4 linked regions of the Macaca mulatta genome follow. The protein of the gene in region 1 binds, or shares a complex with, the protein of each later gene. Links are inferred from orthologs where the notes say so. Each region holds a gene or a part of one and is shown on either strand. Other genes may lie near its edges.

Region 1 (4,270 bases):
TGAACCTACATTTAAGGTTCAAAAAACCGACAAAGGCCAGGCACACTGGCTCACGCCTATAATCCCAGCACTTGGCGGGGGCTGAGGCAGGTGGATTGCTTAAGTCCAGGAGTGCGAGACCAGCCTGGGCAACATGGCAAAACCCTGTCTTTACAAAAAAAAAAAAAAAAATTAGCTGGACGTGGTGCTGCACTCTTGTAGTCTCAGCTACTCTTAGGAGCTAGAGAGTAGCTAGGGAGGCTGAGGTGGGAGGGTCACCTGAGCCTGAGGAGGCCGAGACTGCAGTGAGCCTTGATTGTGCCACTGCACTCCAGCCTGGGGGACAGAGCGAGACCCTGTCTCAAAAAAAAAAAAAAAAAAAAAAAACTGACAAAACCACAGTAACTTCTTTCACATTATTACCATTTATTGAGTCCTCATGGTTAAAATTTTACAAATAGTCTCATTTAACTCTCACAACAATCTTAAGAGACAGGTATTTTCCTTTACATAAATGAGAGAACTGAGACTCAGAAAAGTTAACTTTTCCAAGGTCATATAGTAAATATAAGACCTGAGTCAGGATCTAAACCGAAATCTACGTTAATTCCAAAGCTCGGTGCTCTCAATCGTTGCTAGAAGGATGGTCTAATCAAAAAGCTGAAATACTTTAGGCCAATTCAGAATATTTAATATTCTTTGTTAAAAAATAAAAGGACCTTGTATAACCAACATTCCAGTTCAAACCAAATAGGAGAAATACCCTGACGGTCTATCTTGTTCTGAATTAATTACTTCAAAGACAGCCTTTATAAAGGCACACTACCATTATACCATATTTTAAAACACAAACCTCCCTTTAACCCCAAAGTCTCAAGAGATTCAAATAATTTCACATCATCTCAGATACCTTCGGCAAAACGTATGCTATAGTATACTTTCTGTAATCCAGGTCTGAGTTTTGTATTTGTAAAATGAACTAAGTACCCTGAAAGTACTTTCCAGCATGGGGTGGAGGGGGGATACCAAAAGTATTCACCCTATACAATAGAATATTCTGGGTCAGAGGCGTAAGAGACGACAAGAGTACAACAGCAGGCTAGTATAACAAGATTTGCAAAGTATTGGGAAAGCAAACAAATCTTTCCTGCTTGGTTTAGTCAATCATTCTTAGCACCCAATGGCAAAGACAGAAACAGTCACCATGCTTAACACTCTTTAAACTCCACCCTCCACAGTAAAGCTTTAATAGCAATGGCTTCTTCCTCAGTGGTAATGATCTTTGTTCAGCACACTACTGATGGCTACCTTCCCAATTCAGGAGCAGAGAAAGAGCATCAGAGTGAGAGTACATTCACTGAACAATAAAAGCATCTACTGTACTTTCTTCTTATTGAAAAATGTACCCTTTATCTTCGTTGACTAAAAAAAAAAATTGGATTCCTTCCGGACTCAACCAATAAGCAATTCTTTCTAACCAACCCTGACCCTCCGATATGTTCTATCCAAGGGCACTACATGTTTCCGTACCTTATAATAAATATTTAATGTGACCAAAAGAGCACACAACTTCCTTCCTACCCCCAACCTTTTGGGAAAGGTATGTGGCCAACTAGGGCTCTTCCCTTCCTGTTGGATCCTCCCAGTGTTGCAGCAGGAAGCAACCAGTCCATAGAGATAAAGCAAGCTAGTATTTGTGCAGCGCACAACCTTTCCTGCTCAGGAACCGGGCCTTCAGGTCTGGCAAGGATAACAGCCACCACCCATCCGCAACCTCTTCTCGCGAACCGAGTAAAGAGTTATCCCGGGTTGTGTGCCACTGAGTAGGGAGAGCAAGATAATAAAAGGCTAGGTGGGAAGTAATGTCAGCCTGCCGGGTCACTGCGACAAGTGCGCGACTGGGTGATGGTCGATCCCTCTTACCCTCCCACCACCCGGGTCGCAACGGAGACCAGGGAGCTCTAAACACGATCTGGGGAGGGAAGGTAGAGAGAGTTGCCAAATGGGGAGTGGGGGAGGGAGCGGTCAGAGAAGGTTAAGGACCGCGAGAACCGCGGGGCGGAGGGTGGGGGTGGGGACCCCTGGCCCGCTCAGATTTTACCGGGTCCTGGACCCGGGATGCGAGAAGCTTAGAGGGGGGGCCGAACAAGGGGAGGAGATATGCAGAAAAGAGGCTCGCTCGAGGGGGAAAGGGGGCAGATAAGAAAAGACCTGTAGTGGGAGTCTGCACCGAAGGCAAGGCCAAGAGGGAAGCGAAGAACCCGTCACAGGGGCTTCGGGAGAGGACGCCAGCCGGGAAAGGTGTACGCTGAGGGGGAGGGGGCGCTACACCCGAAAAGAGAGATGGTGGGAGGGGCGGCGGGGCCGCAGAACCCAGGGAAAGGAATTCGACGATATGCGAGAAGGCAGTCCGCCAGGGGAAGGACACGCAGGGAGGGGCTGTGAGGCCAGCCAAGGCCCACGGAGAGGTCGCTCAGAGAGCGGCATGTGATGGGGACCCCTGTCTGAGGAGGAGAGAAGCTGAGCTGGGTAGGAGACGGAACCACACAAAAAGGAAGGGCTGAGGCAGGCCTCTATCAGTGCACGGGTGGCCGGCACGTCCGCCGAGTGTGTCCCGGGTCCCCGAACGGGGACTGTGTAGAGTGCGAGAGCCCATGGCCTCACCTTTAAAGAGGTAGTCGTACTCGTCGTCGCGGGTGCCCATTGCGCGGCCGAGGAGCGAAAGGGCGGGAGCAGCAGTGGTATCTGTGGGACCAGGGGGCGTCGCTGCAGGGGTAACCCGAACGCCGAGCTTCAACTGCCGGACTGGGTGAAGAGCCCCTCCTTGCCGCTGCGCCACTTCCGGCAGGCCCCAGCCTTTAAGGGGAAGTACTTCCGGGGGCGGCTCCCCGTCCCTGAACCCAAGAAGGGCGGTATGCACGAGAGTCGCGATGCGTGGGGCTTCAAACTTTCGTCGCTAAAGGAGGCTCAAAGGGGAAACTGAGTCCTGGAATTCCTAGCTACCGTGGTCTTAGTGGCCTCTTGCTTATTTCTCGAGCTACCGTGCCCGGAAGCGACTCGCTGGAACCGGGCGGGACCGCCTGTGAGTGGTGGGTTTGTGGATGGGGGCGGGGTTGTCTAAGGATCAGAGAGCCGAAGGCAACTACATATGCGTGGCGGTTCCATGGTGTAATGGTTAGCACTCTGGACTCTGAATCCAGCGATCCGAGTTCAAATCTCGGTGGAACCTGCATTGGTGCTTTTTTTTTTCCTTAACAACTTTTTTGTTCACTAAGTAATTGAACAACTATGACATATATTAACATGGAGATGTAAAATTTAATCCTTGCCTATGAAGAACTCACAAATTTCCCACTGCATTTGAGGTACTATCTGCTACCTGGCGGGGGTTGTCTTAATGAGCCTCTTCACTACCTTTTTTTTTTTAACCCTGGCCCCTCAAACTTTAATTCAGAAGCTTCAATGAAACTTGAAAATTCCTTTTGCTGGAATTTTCTACCTCCAGCTTCATGCACGGGTAGGCGCTTGTCACTCACTCCTCTCCGGAAATCTCTCAGTCTATCTCGTTTTCATTTAGAGTACTTCGCCCACCCTCCTCATCAAGATTCATCAAGAACTTGAGTCCTATTTGTAGGCCTCTAATCTAAGTCCGTTTACATAAGTATTTCATTTAATATGCCGAGCAAAGGATGGCAATTTCCATTTTAGCGGAAATTTGGATACTAAGACTCAAGTGATTTGCCAGATATCATGCCGCAGGGCCTCCCTGTATTTGAAGAGAATTTTGTAATTCCAGAAAAGCCTTTATCCAATTATTGTCACACCTCCTACCTCCTATATGCAAACTCTCGATTTAGACTTGTGGGCAAGTGTGCCTAGAACAAGCAGAAGAATACCACCTGCCAATGATGTCCACTTCCCAATTCCCAGAGACTGAATAGGTTAGGTTACATGGCAAAGGGGAATTGAGGTTACAGATGAAATTAAGGTTGCTAATCAGCTGACATTAAATTAGGGATATTATCCTGGATTATTTGGGTGACCCCAGTGTTGTCGTAAGAGTACTTAAAAGTGGAAAAAGGGCTGGGCACGGTGGCTCACGCCTTAATCCCAGCACTTTGGGAGGCCGAGGTGGGTGGATCACCTGAGGTCAACAGTTCAAGACCAGCCTGGCCAACAAGGTGAAACCCCGTCGCTACTAAAAATACAAAAAGTTAGCCGGGCGTGGTGGTGGGCGCCTGTAGTCCCAGCTACTCTGGAGGCTTAGGCACGAGAATCGTTTGAACCCGGG
Region 2 (3,953 bases), on another chromosome or scaffold:
AGCAAAGTTCCCACTTGATGGATACCAAAACTGCTGCACCCAGATCAATTGCAGACAAGAGCAGAGCTTTGGATGGAAATTCTAAACAAGTGGGATCAAGACCCTGAAGCATTTCTTTGAATTGTAACAGGGGATGAAATGTGGCTCTCCCAGTATAATCCTGAAGACAAAGCCCAATCAAAGCAAAGACTTCCAAGAGGTGAAAGAGGTCCAGTCACAGCAAAGGTGGACTGGTTCAGAGCAGAGATCATAGCAGCATTTTGGAGGACTGCTCAAGCCATTTTGCTTGACTTTCTAGAAGACCAAATGATGATGACATCTGCTTATTACAAGTGTCTTGAGGAAGTCAAAGCTTTAGCAGAAAAACACCAAGGAAACGTCACCAGAAAAGTCATTTTCTGCCACAACAATGCTCCTCATTCCTCTCAAAGAAGAGCAATTTTGCAAGAGTTTCTACGGAAAACTATTAGGCGTCCACCTCACAGTCCTGATTTGGCTCCTTCTGACTTTGTGTCCTAATCTCGAAGTTAATGACCTGCATCTTTTCCAGTTAATAATGTAAGACTGCATTGGCATGGTTAAATTCCCAGGACCCTCGGTTCTTTAGGGACGAACTAGGTGGCTGGTATAACTTTCAAAAGTGTCTTGACCTTGATGGAAATTGCGTTGAGAAATAAAGTTTATATTTTTAAACTTTTAACTCCATTTTACCCCACAAACTCTCCCCCTCATATAATAACAGCAATTCAATATTGCCTGACAAAGGACTTTGACACATTGGAGGTATATTCAGTTGAGTCATTCCTTTTACTTAGGAGTACAATTTGCATCTCCATGCACTTTAATGTAACAAAGCTTCGGCTTTGAGCACTCCAGTTCAGATTTTTCCCCTGCCTTCACTGGCTTCCAGCCTCCAGTCCCAGCTCCTGAAACCTAACCGGCTTCAGGGAAAAAACCTGAGCTTTTAGGGATCCTCCCAATACCTCCACAGCCAAGAGGGGTGGAGTGCCATTCCAAGCCTAGGACTGCCACAGAGTTGACGCCCTGGCTCCCGCCTCCTCGCCTCCTCGCCTCCTCCCCTCCTCCCCCAGAGGCCGTCGCCCATCCCTGATCGCTGCACAGGAGGTCCCTGGTGGGCTAGGAAGTAGTATCTGAGGCTGCTGCGTCCCCACCCCCAGCCAGGTGACAGCCTCCGCGGCCACCTTCATGAGCGTGAACCCATCCCGGCCCTGCTCCCCGCTCCAGGAGGAAGGCGAGAGTTTAAAATTCCTCAAACTTAGAAGGGTTGCCAGTTCACGGAGCAGAAGGGCTCCCCCACATGTGCTGGACAGCCGCGAGTGCTCTCCAGGTAAGGACGCAGAAGTGACTGTTCCTACCCAGCCCAGACCTGATGGCCCGGGCAGGTGTCCCGGGAATCGCACACCCACACAACGCGCGCGGACACCACACGCACACACAACTCTGCACGGAGGCGTGTGCACAGGCACTGTCGTATGTGTTTTGGCCACCCAAGAAGATGAACAGGAAAACCAGGCATTGGACTATCCAAAACTTGTTTTCCTAAAGGGCACATGTGAAGAAAAGGCCTTTGCCCATCTCACTCCTGACTCCAGGGTGAAACTTGAGGGGTCCCGGACGGCTGCAGCGCTGCCTCCAGCTCCCCTGGAAGCGGTGGCTCGTCCCTAACTTTAACCACAGCAACTGCTGCGGAACGCGGGCGTCTCCGCCCAGGCTGCACCTGTTCCGGATTCGGAGCACCCAGCCTCGCACATCCCTTCTGACCTTGAAGGCATCCTGAAACTCACACCCTGCTCCCAGTTCGGCTTTACTCCAACCCCCTTCCCCACAGTCACTGAAGCTCTCTTGGTACCAGAGGGGCCGCGTCAAAATACCCATCCCCAGCAAATTCACAATGCTCTTCCCTGGGGTCTCCGGAGATAACGGAGCACCCCTCTACCCATCGCTTACCCCCACTCCATCCAGCTGCCGCGCCCTCACGCCAGGTTGAGTCTCCTCCCTCTCCACCAAGTCCAGAACCCCCACCTCTCCCAAGTCCAGGGTTCCCTGTTGTGGGTATGCGTGAGGAAAGGACGCCTCGGAGGCGAACCCTCGAGAGCCGGCGCCGCAGAACCCCTGGGGCGGGGTCCACGGCGGGGACAGGGGACAGCGGCGGGCGCACCGCGGGGGACCGTCCGAGCACGGCGCTCAGAGCTGGCAGAGTCGCCCCCGCGGTTCGGGGAACTCAGCTGGAACCCAGCCCAGGCAACGAAAGTGAGGGGCGCGGCGGGGAGGGGGCGACAGCACCGGCTTGGGGCTGAGCCGTGGCGCTGCGGAATCTCCAGGAGCCGGGCGGCCGGTCAGTGCGGGCGTTCCCGGAACCGCTAAACTTTCTCCGCCAACAGAAGTTAGGGACGCCGAGGACGGAGACGCGGGGGACACCAGGAGGGGTCTCCCGTCACCTCCCGCCTCCAGTAGCCGAGGGAGAAGGCGACCCTGAGTGCCAGGTGGCCCCGAGCGCTCCGCCCCGGCCCCGCGGCGCCTCTCCCGCGGCTGCGCTCACCTGGCTGTAGAGCTCGCCCACCGACATGGCCCGGGCTGGGCGGGGCTCAAGCCCCGGCTCCCCGTTGCACCGCGGCTCTCAGTCCGCGGCCGGCCCGCCTGGCGCCATGTTCCTGGGCTGGCCTGGAGTTTCTCGATCTTCTCGCTCTTCTCCGATCTGCCCCGCCGGCTTCCCGGAGGCACAGCGGCCGGCTCGCTCCCGGCGGCGCGACCTTTACTCCTGCGGCGGCGGCGCAGCAGCGGCCGGACAGGAGTTGCGAGCGCCGGGGGAGGAGGCAGCGCGACGCCGCTCCCCGCCCAGGTGTAGGGAGGAGGCGAGGGCCGGCGAGGAGGGAGGACCCGCGCGCGTCAGAGCGGACTGCCCGTGCGCCGCCGCGCCTCTGAGCCCTGCCGGTGCCCGGCCCGACGCGCCCTCCCGCGCCCCCGCTGCCACCTGGGCCTCCGGGCCGGGGGCGGGGCGCTCAGAGCGGAGCTCGGGGACCGGCGCGGGCCGCCCCCTGCTGGACGCCGCACGCGCAGGCACAGGTGCGCCCCGGTGCCAGCACCTGCTCTTCCACCCGCACCCGGCCCGGCGGAGTCCGGCACGCACGCGGTGCACACAAGAAAAGGGGAGAGGAACTAACCAGAGAGCGGGGAAAAGAGAGAAACTTCTATGGCTGGAAGGCCCCGGACGTTGCCCTCGATTTTACCTGGCTGTATTCAGCGCTTTCATTAAAATTCAGTTACTCGTAGATCGTTATTAAGGCGACCTGGACATACGTACACCAAGGATCTTCTCCTTCAAACTGAACTCTCTGCGCGGAAATCCGTCAGAAAGGTGGGAGTCGTAACTTCTTCTGTACAAATATTGGCCACTTTCGCCCACAGCCTCCAAGGAGACTCCAGGCCACTCCTCTCAGAGGGCTCTTGCTTTTCCGGGAAGTCTCACGTTCTCCCAACCCCCGTCTCTCCTACATGCAGACTCCCGGTCTTTCTGCCACTCACTACCTCGTTTATTTGTGTTCCCTCTCTGCCCATGGCACTTGGCTGCCTACAGCAACTTCAGCTCTTTTCCTACTTCCAGTGAAAAGTAGAAATTTCAGTCAAGAAAAAAAAAGACTGCCAGGAGTCTGTGGAAGGAGACCAGGGCTGTCAGACGAGACACTCCCTTCTGAAGGTGGCATGTGTCCCTGAACCAGGGGTGGCCCCTGAAAAGTGGTTCTCCACCAGAAGATCTATCTATACCAGCCGGGGCAGTTGTTTAGGAGCCTCAGAGGGTGATTCTCAAAGGCATCCCACCTGGAACGCAAGATCCCGTTGTAATTCACCTGTGCAGGCCTTCCCGTGGGCGCCTCCACAATGAGAGTCAACTGGGGAGCTTTAAGCGATCCAAGGAAGAGGCCCCAACCCAAGGA
Region 3 (4,246 bases), on another chromosome or scaffold:
TAGACTTAAAAGTAACTGTAGTAGCAAGGCTGGTATCACCGTCATTAGAAAACCTGGGTATTTTTAAACCAGAAATACAAATGGTAACACTTGTCACTCTGTGTGCCTCCTTATAGTTACAAAGTTCTTTAATAGAAAGTGCAGACTGGGAATGTAAGGAATAAAAGCACTAAGTTCCTTTTTGGGCAGTTGGATACAGTTTTTAATACCGGCTCTGTCACTGGCCAGCTGTACGACCACCTACAACTAAGTAACTACAGACAAATTACCGCAACTTTCTAAGCCTCCATTTCCTGATTTGTAAAATTTGACAAGTCACCTATATCCCAGGAATGTCCAGAGGACTGAGGAGTCAAGGTATGGAAAACAAGCACGCACAGTGCCTTGCACACAAGCAAGCTCACATTGGTTCCTTCTCCCCTTCCCCACATCTCTAATGGAGTATCTTATTAAATCCTCATCTCACCACTATGAAGTTCATATTAGGTTGAAACATAAAAAACAGCAGAATATTAGCAATTTCAACCTAATAGTATTTCCACTGACAAATGGAGAAAATAAGCTCAAATAGGTTAAATGTTTTACTCAAGGTTTTATGCACAGTAAGTGATGGAACTGAACATTAAATAATTTTTCATTCAGCCAGCTCACTAATTTGTTCACTGACTCCTGCTGAGGGGGAAAAAAATATACTAACTACTATAATGCATATAAAACTACTATAATCTACAAAGTATTTTTTCCTGCCATGTTTAAAAAATGAGGGGGTGAAACAGATTTCTAAGAACATTTCCATTTTAAAAAGTATTTGCAGAGGATGTGTGTGTTGGGGGAGGATCAAAGGTAAAGAATATTAGGTCGGGCGCGGTGGCTCAAGCCTGTAATCCCAGCACTTTGGGAGGCCGAGACGTGCGGATCACGAGGTCAGGAGATCGAGACCATCCTGGCTAACACAATGAAACCCCGTCTCTACTAAAAATACAAAAACTTAGCCGGGCGAGGTGGCGGGCGCCTGTAGTCCCAGCTACTCGGGAGGCTGAGGCAGGAGAATGGCGTGAACTCGGGAGGCGGAGTTTGCAGTGAGCTCAGATCCGGCCACTGCACTCCAGCCTGGGTGACAGAGCGAGACTCCGTCTCAAAAAAAAAAAAAAAAAAAAAAAAAAAAAAGAATATTAAAGGAAGCATATGGATAATTACACTAATTCAAAAAGTACAATAGGATCTAGTCAGAAAACCCACAAAGCAGCTAAACATTAAATGGCCATCCTGGTGAAAGGTTACAAGTATTCAATACCACAGATGAGTTGTCTGCCAAATACGGAAGGAAGATTTATATTAAACACTTTGGTTCACAAAGGTATACATCAATATATAACATTACTGCAATGGAAAAAAATGAAAGGCTTTTCCTTCAATAGTTAAAAAATGGACTACTTAACTGTATAACTGTTTATTTCTATAAATTCCACAAGGGCTTTAGCATTAGATCACATAAGCCATATCTGGAATACAATGTCCAAACACGAAAAGTCCTATCAAAATGCACAGTACTAGTAAATAAATAACAAATGGTAATAGTACAAGGCCCCATAAAACTGGTGAAATATTTAACAGTATCAAATATTTACTACGATTGGTCTACAAACCTATTCTGCCTCTTTTCTCCTTGATTTGTCATTCACCACTGGGGGGAAAAAAAAAAAAACCTTCATGAACAACAAAATGAGAAAAAGGATAATGAACAAGAACTGGGTCTTTCAATTGATTTACAAAGGAACAGTTTTGTTGTAATCCTCTTACGGGCCCCTCCTCCAATTATGCAATCATTCCACTGCAAGAGATTACAAGGCTTTTAACCCGACACTGAAAGGAAGGAGTTGGGGTGAAACATGAGAGTGTATAACAGGTAGCCTCCGAACAGGCAACATTTCCATGAAACTAAATTGCCTCTCAGTAATCAGTACTAACTCAGCGCTCTTGTCTTTCAAGACCTTACCCTTTAGCCATTGTAGATATATCTTTTTTTAATCCCATAACAACCGGCAACTCTTTACATGCTGCGGCTTCCACCCAGCATCAATTCTGGAGCGAGGAAGCTCGCGCTTCCCCGGGCGGTCGGGGCGAGTTTTCAACGCTGGGAGGGCAAAGCCGTGCAATCCCATCCGTGCAGCTCGTCTCAACTCCCCCGAACACAAGTCTGGCTGCAAGGAGCTGCCTCTTCGGACGCGACTCCGGGCGCCTGCCCGGAATTTCCCACCAGGTTTCACCGAAACCTCCCGAGGGTGACCTCTACGCCTCAGCACGGTGCCTCTAGCGTCGTTTCCTAAGACTGGGGCACGAAACCACCCCAGGTCCACAGCTATTGCCCCGTCCACAGCCCTGCCGCGCGGCGCCCGGTGTTGTGAGCGGCTACCGACTTGTTCGGGAACTCCGTCTTCATCCCCCTCGCGACCCCGGCCCTCCGCTCCCGGCCGCTCCCGGCCGCTCCCGGCCGCCGCCAGGTAACCCGCCGGGCTCCGGCTCCCTGCCCCGGGCGCGCGGGACCGCGCAGTTAATGTGTAACGCGCCCGTGCCCGGGGGAGGAGCCGCCGCCCGGCGCCCACCAGCAGCCCAGGGGGCGGCCGGCTGACCCGGGGCGCCGAGGTCCCCCCACACGCCGCCCCCAAGAGCCCGGAGCCCAACTGCCCAGGCGGAGAGCGCGCTCACCGGGCCGGGGCATCCCGCCGAACCCCCGCGCGCCGCGCCCTCCACGGCGCCGGCACCTGCACCTGCCGCGGCCGCCCCTCCTGGCCGACTCGCCGGAGGCGGGTGCGCGGGCGCCGAGGGGGGCGGTGCTCCACGCTCCGGGCCTCTCCCTCCCGCGGCCACACTCACCTGACGAACCCACCGCGGCCGCTGCCGGCGCTCACGGGCGCTCACAGAGCCGCAGAGAGCGCGCCCCGAAGCAGCGAGAGGCGGAGGAGGACGGCGAGCCCTTGCCGCTACACTCCACGGTGGCGGGCTCACTACGCCGGCAGCCGCCGAGGGAACGCGGGACTGCGCCTGCGCCGGAAGCGGGGCCGGGGCCCGGGGCCGGGAGCCGGGAGCTGGGAGCGGCCGGTCCTCACGGAGGGTGGGCGGGGCGGGGGGGTGTGGCCGGCAGGGGCGGGGCGGGCCCGGCGTGGGGCCTGGGGGCGGACGCGCTTCCGCGCCCCCTGGCGCCAGGCGGGGCTCGTCGCAGCTGTCACGGGCCTGGCCCCAGGTTCCTCCGCGGGCGGTTTCCCTGGGAACAAGGGCGAGCCCGAGCTGCGCTGTTTCCCGGGGCCCGAGAGGCCACCTCAGGTTGACTTCAGGCATGTTGGGCTCTCCAGAAGGGAGAAGAGGCACCTTCGCCGTGAGTTGAGGACTCCTAGAACCAACCTGAGACTCCGCGGCCATATACATCTTACGACGTGTGTGTGTGTGTGTTTGTGTGGCGGGGGATGGGAGGGGAGGAATCCTGTAGAACCCAGATCCCATCATTCCAGCAACTGCCAGAGCGTTCGAGAATGTCACGCCTGTACCTGTCTTCTCTCATCTTTTGTGCCAACTGTTTTATCAAACTTCCACCCCACTTTAAGTCTTCCAGGTAGGAAAAATACAGAAAGAGCCAAGATCCCAAAAATCGGAAAAAATAAAGAGGCATTCATAGTATGTGTCTCTATGTTTAGCAAAAGAGAAACGTGCAATTTATGTGATACACATATTGAATAGAACCATCATTCTGGGTATTAATCTCATCTATTAGAGGCAGTAAAGAAAAGTAGACTATGTGTATGGCTGTTGGAGTCAGAATTACTGGGTTTGAGCCTGCCACCTGCTAGCTGAGTGACCTTAGGCAAATGAATCTCTAGCCCCAGTTTTCTCATCAGTGAATGAGTATACAAGAACCTGCCTCGCTAAGTCATTGAGAGTTTAAATGACTTAATTCATGTAAACACTTTGCATACTTCATGACACAGGGTGCCTGATGAATATTAGCTATTGTTATTATACCATTATAACTATTATCATGCATCTGTAATCCAGAAACCTAGAAAGTCAGTTTTTCTTATTTTATACCCCGTCACCAATATATCACCAAGTCTTATTCATCCTAATTTCTAAATAATTCTTAAATATATCTTACCTGATATTCATTGCCATTAGAAATGACCTTTCTTATTAACGGACTCCTAACTGTTCTCCCTTACACCACGTAGCTGGTCATTCATTCATCAAACATTTT
Region 4 (4,278 bases), on another chromosome or scaffold:
AGAAGAGGCATCTAAGGTCTAAGAGCCAAAAGATCTAGTTCTACCCCTGTGAGGCCTTGGGAGAGCTACATTAACCTTTCTGAGTTTCTGGTTTCTTACCTGCAAAGTGGGGATGAATCATGCTTGCCTACCATCTCAGAGAACTGTGGTATAATCCAGTGGAAACATACCTGAGCCTCACAGAAGCTCTCTATCAAAGTTGGGTTATGGTAACAAGGAGCAAAGGTGGTACTCTCCTGCCTTCTTTGCTGTACTAAAGCAAGAGTATGTTTGAGAGAAGACACAGTGCACTAGCCAACAGCAACCAAGGGAGCTCAAGGTGCTCTCCAGGTCAGAGGCAAGAAGGAAACACAGCAAAACACCTAGACCAGCAACCACCATCCACACTGACGATACCGGAAAGTATCAGTCACATATTTTACTGCCCATTAGAGTAGGTGGAAAACTATCCTGACAATATCCCAACTGGAGCTAAGCACGTGAGCAGTGCAGGCTGCCCCACAGGCAACCTGTCTGTACACCTTCTTAGTGTGAACTCAGTAAGGAACACTGATTTATCAGGCCCCTGTTTTTTCTTTTTTTTTTTTTTGTTTTTTTTTGAGATGGAAGTCTCGCTCTCGCCCAGGCTGGAGGGCAGTGGCACAATCTCAGCTCACTGCAAGCTCCGCCTCCTGGGCTCAGGCCATTCTCCTGCCTCAGCCTCCCAAATAGCAGGGACTACAGGTGCCTACCACCACACCGGCTAATTTTTTTGTATTTTTTAGTAGAGATGGGGTTTCACCATGTTAGCCAGGATGGTCTCGATCTCCTGACCTCGTGATCCGCCCGCCTCGGCCTCCCAAAGTGCTGGGATTACAGGCGTGAGCCACCGCGCCTGCCCATCAAGGTTCTTAATGTTATGACTGACACCCTAAATAGCAGTGTGCCAATTTTACCTCTTTTCTTACAGACCTTTGGCTTAAACATGCATATGTACTTGAACACCCACTTACCATATGCCTGCATGTGTGAGAAGTCAACAAAATACAAAAAATTGACAGATGCACCTTAGGGATTTCCTACAAAGTAAACTATTTAAAAGTGAGCGCTGGTATTATTTGATGTCCACTGGGTTATTGGCAGAACACACACAGCCCTGCTGTTATCTCCACTTAAACTTATTAAGTGCTGAGGTAGATAGCAATGACTGCATCTTCCGGCCCACCTTCCCCCCAGGAGCAGGCGCCCTGAGGACCGCGCGGACCCCTGCCACACTGTATTGTGCGCAGTGCCTGTCCACGCATTTCACCTCTCCTGCTAGAGTGGAGGTGGCCGTAATGGAGTTCTGCTAGACTTCTGTATTTGCCAACAAGCTCAGAGGCTCATTCCCTTCCTCCCCAAAGGCACCAAAGTAAAAATTCTTAATTCCAGGACCTTCTACAAGCATCGACTGTCTCCCAAACAATAAAAGATTAAATCTAAGTAGAAAAGATGTCAACCACGCACAGTAAAGTAATTGTGCTCAAAATAGGTATCTATCAGTAGGATCTCAAGGTGTCTGGGCAGCCTGGCCTCTGCGGCTCGAACTTGGGTAAATTCAGCCAAGCAGTATCTGGGCCCTCGGGCGAGGGAATCGCGGGGAACTTTTTCATTCAGGGGCACGTCGATCAGGCACCCTGGGGGGGTGTCCCCAGGCCAGGAGCAGACCTCTGTAAGATCCAGCTGACGGGGCGATGGGGGGATGGGAAAAAACTGACTCCCCAGAATAGAACCTCCTTTTAAGAAGGGAATAGGGACTCCAGTGAAATTCAACCAGAAAACCAGGGCCGAAGTGGTGAATAAGCAGCAAAAGCAGGACTCGCAGGTCTTGACAATGCCTTTGCCGACTCCATGGGCCGCGTCGACCGGTCCCACATCAACCCCGCAGGCCAGACGCGCACCTGCCCGGTTCCCACGCCACGGCCCGGGCCGCTCCGTACCTGCTCTGCCCCGTAGACCGTGGCAAACTGGACGAAGTCCTCGATGCGGACGAAACCGTCCCCATCCCCGTCCAGGGCATCGAACACGGCTCGGAGGCGGGGGCCGTCCTCCTGACTCCCCGCGGGCTCGCTCGGAAGGGGGTGGGTCTGGCTGAGATCCGAGGGCTGCGGCGGGGACCCGGGACCCTCATCCAGCGCCAGCTCGCCCGCCGTGGGCGCGGGGAAGGGAGAGAAGAGGTCGACCTCGCCCCGCGCTCGGTGGCTGCTGCTGGACCCCTGCAAGCGGTAAGGCGCGCTCTCCGGGCAGCCCACGGGGCCACACTCCTCGGGCTTCTCAGTCCAGGAGAACAACGGGTCGAGTTCTGGAAGCGGCGCCTCGGAGCGGCGCCCTGGGCCCGGGGCTTCCGGGCTCTCGAGCTGCCCCAGCGGGCCGGAGCGTGGCGGCGGGGCGGGCGCCCCGGGGTCCCCCGGGCCTCCCTCCAGCCCCGGGGCCGGCCCGGCGCTCCAGCGCGCCCCGCCATCCGCAGCGGCTCCGGGTGCAGGCTCATCCAGGCCCGGGGGCTCCGGATCGGAGCCAGCGGCGAGCGCTCCGAGGCGTAGCTCCGCAGGGCCCGGCGCCGGCTGCGTCGCCCCCGGCCCGTCCGGCCCGCCCGGCTCCGGGTCGGGCCCCGGCGGCTCCGAGCCCGGGGGCGAGGCCGGCGGGGCCGACGCCATGCTCCTCAGAGGCTAGTGGTGCGGAGGGCGCGGGCGGCAGACAAAGGCGCTCAGGGCGCGGCGGCGGGCGCGGGCATCCCCTCGGCGGCGCGGGCGGGCGCGCGCGGGGCGCCCGGGCTGCTGGGGCTGGCGCTCGGGCCCTGCTCCGTCCTCGCCCATCTTCGCGCCGCGCCTCAGCTGCCCTCGGCCCGGCGGCGAGGCGGGCGCAGGCCCATGGCGGCGGGGCGGCCTAGGGAGGGCGGCGAGGGGCCGGGCGGCGGGCGACAGCGGACGGGGGCCGAGGACACCGGAGGCCGCGCAGCCTGTGAAGCAGGATGAGGAGACTAAGGAGGCTGAGACTCCTGAGGTACCCGGAGAACTAACGCCGCCGCCGCTGCCCCGGCCCCGCCCTCCGTCGGGCTTGACGTCAGCACGTCCCGGCGGTGCCCCAGCCCCTCGCCGGCTTCCTATAAAGGCAGGCGCCGGGAGTGTCGCGGCAGTGCGGCGGCTGCGGGGGGTGTTCCGCTGTCTTGTATGCCTCGTCTCGCCGGAGCTGGGGTCTCGAGCTTCAGGCGCGGGACGCCGGGGTGCTCCAAGGCTGCGAGTGGAGGCGTGGCGTGACGTGACGTCCCTGGCAAGGGGCGCGCGGAGTCAAACCTTACTTAGAACGGTTCCCGACGTACAGCTACCAGCGGGCGCAACCGAGACCGCGACCCACGCATGGTGCGGACGAGTAAACGGCACCGCGCGGCGAGCGAGAGACGCACAGGGACATAGCCCCCTGGGAGCTGAGCCCTTCCGGGGTAAAGCGTTCTCACGTTGATGAGACCAGGAGGCGGCGCACTCCTGGCTCCGCGGCCCAGGGGTCGCAGGTGCCTCAGGGGTTGTGAGGCGCAGACGCTGCAGAGGGCGAGGCCCAACCCAGACCCCGCGCTGACCCGGCGGACGCAGGGTCTGACACGGAGTGCGGAGGGGCCCCAGACACGCAGTCCATGTCCCTCGAAACCAGAGGCAGGCGCGGCCACGCGCTAGGCCTTTCCCTTAAGCCTGTGACCAAGGTCTCCAAGACGCCCAGCGTTGGGACGGGCGCGGTGCCCCACGCCCAAGCAGGAGGATCGCTTGCGCCCAGGAGTTCGAGACCAACCTGGGCACCAAAGCGAGACCTCGTCTTTACAAGAAAATAAGACTAAAGAAGACACCCAGCGTTAATCGCCCGTCTGCAGCCAGCCTCACGAGCACCGTGGCCGCGTTTGACAACTGACCTCTGTGTCTAGGTGTCCCTGTCCTCAGAGGGACACAGAACCTCAGACAGGACCACAGCCTGGCGGCAGGCATGACGGTGGGACAGACTAGTTAGGAGCAGGTGAGGCACTAAATTTAGCCTGTCGTGATTTGTATCAGGGAAATGATGAACTTGTATTTTTACACACCTTGGGCACCAACACAAGATACGGTTTCGTAAGCAGCTTTGGCAAAAATCAAAGGAACGGAACCTCTGCTTCCAAGTGTACGGTCAGGAGCAGCGTATTAATTGAGTGAGTCATCTCCCGTGGCATAATCTCAGGGGACATGGGACCAGACTTTGTGAGGCTGGCATTGGGAAAAGGAAGATGAGGGGTCCCCCTCC

What was found.
Region 2: the proteins of RAB11A (region 1) and MYO5B are in contact, whole or in part, in a crystal structure (PDB 4LX0), measured with the Homo sapiens proteins. The link is inferred for Macaca mulatta from reciprocal best matches to the Homo sapiens genes RAB11A and MYO5B. Residues at the interface, in NP_004654.1 of Homo sapiens: Leu11, Lys13, Arg33, Glu35, Ile44, Gly45, Val46, Glu47, Phe48, Ala49, Thr50, Gln63, Trp65, Glu71, Arg72, Tyr73, Arg74, Ala75, Ile76, Thr77, Ala79, Tyr80, Arg82, Gly83; in NP_001073936.1 of Homo sapiens: Ile1627, Gln1628, Gly1629, Leu1630, Trp1706, Met1710, Arg1713, Tyr1714, Ser1717, Gln1718, Glu1721, Arg1724, Gln1745, Leu1747, Gln1748, Leu1749, Lys1750, Lys1751, Glu1755, Ala1759, Leu1763, Tyr1779, Glu1786.
Region 3: the proteins of RAB11A (region 1) and RAB3IP are in contact, whole or in part, in a crystal structure (PDB 4UJ5), measured with the Homo sapiens proteins. The link is inferred for Macaca mulatta from reciprocal best matches to the Homo sapiens genes RAB11A and RAB3IP. Residues at the interface, in NP_004654.1 of Homo sapiens: Phe36, Leu38, Glu39, Asp127, Leu128, Arg129, His130, Leu131, Arg132, Ala133, Pro135, Thr136, Leu156; in NP_783322.1 of Homo sapiens: Asn367, Thr368, Leu369, Ser370, Ile371, Glu372, Pro373, Asp412, Arg424, Thr428, Cys431, Asn432, Thr435, Tyr439, Leu444, Val445, Lys446, Gln447, Gln448.
Region 4: the proteins of RAB11A (region 1) and RAB11FIP3 are in contact, whole or in part, in a crystal structure (PDB 2HV8), measured with the Homo sapiens proteins. The link is inferred for Macaca mulatta from reciprocal best matches to the Homo sapiens genes RAB11A and RAB11FIP3. Residues at the interface, in NP_004654.1 of Homo sapiens: Arg33, Ile44, Gly45, Val46, Glu47, Phe48, Ala49, Thr50, Trp65, Arg72, Arg74, Ala75, Ile76, Ala79, Tyr80, Arg82; in NP_055515.1 of Homo sapiens: Asn731, Phe732, Gln735, Ile738, Asp739, Arg740, Ile742, Val743, Met746, Glu747, Pro750, Ser751, Leu753, Glu754, Val755, Lys756.

Annotation. Positions count from the first base shown.
Region 1 is NC_133412.1:43,316,985-43,321,254, reverse strand, and holds the start of RAB11A (ras-related protein Rab-11A), read right to left. Parts: upstream 2,801-4,270; 5' UTR 2,684-2,800; coding exon 2,644-2,683; intron 1-2,643. UniProt on the Homo sapiens protein: The small GTPases Rab are key regulators of intracellular membrane trafficking, from the formation of transport vesicles to their fusion with membranes.
Region 2 is NC_133423.1:42,113,701-42,117,653, reverse strand, and holds the start of MYO5B (unconventional myosin-Vb), read right to left. Parts: upstream 2,801-3,953; 5' UTR 2,588-2,800; coding exon 2,561-2,587; intron 1-2,560. UniProt on the Homo sapiens protein: May be involved in vesicular trafficking via its association with the CART complex. The CART complex is necessary for efficient transferrin receptor recycling but not for EGFR degradation.
Region 3 is NC_133416.1:76,867,345-76,871,590, reverse strand, and holds the start of RAB3IP (rab-3A-interacting protein), read right to left. Parts: upstream 2,801-4,246; 5' UTR 2,035-2,800; coding exon 1,997-2,034; intron 1-1,996. UniProt on the Homo sapiens protein: Guanine nucleotide exchange factor (GEF) which may activate RAB8A and RAB8B. Promotes the exchange of GDP to GTP, converting inactive GDP-bound Rab proteins into their active GTP-bound form.
Region 4 is NC_133425.1:1,632,344-1,636,621, reverse strand, and holds the start of RAB11FIP3 (rab11 family-interacting protein 3), read right to left. Parts: upstream 2,801-4,278; 5' UTR 2,673-2,800; coding exon 1,959-2,672; intron 651-1,958; exon of another isoform or gene 1-650. UniProt on the Homo sapiens protein: Downstream effector molecule for Rab11 GTPase which is involved in endocytic trafficking, cytokinesis and intracellular ciliogenesis by participating in membrane delivery. Recruited by Rab11 to endosomes where it links Rab11 to dynein motor complex.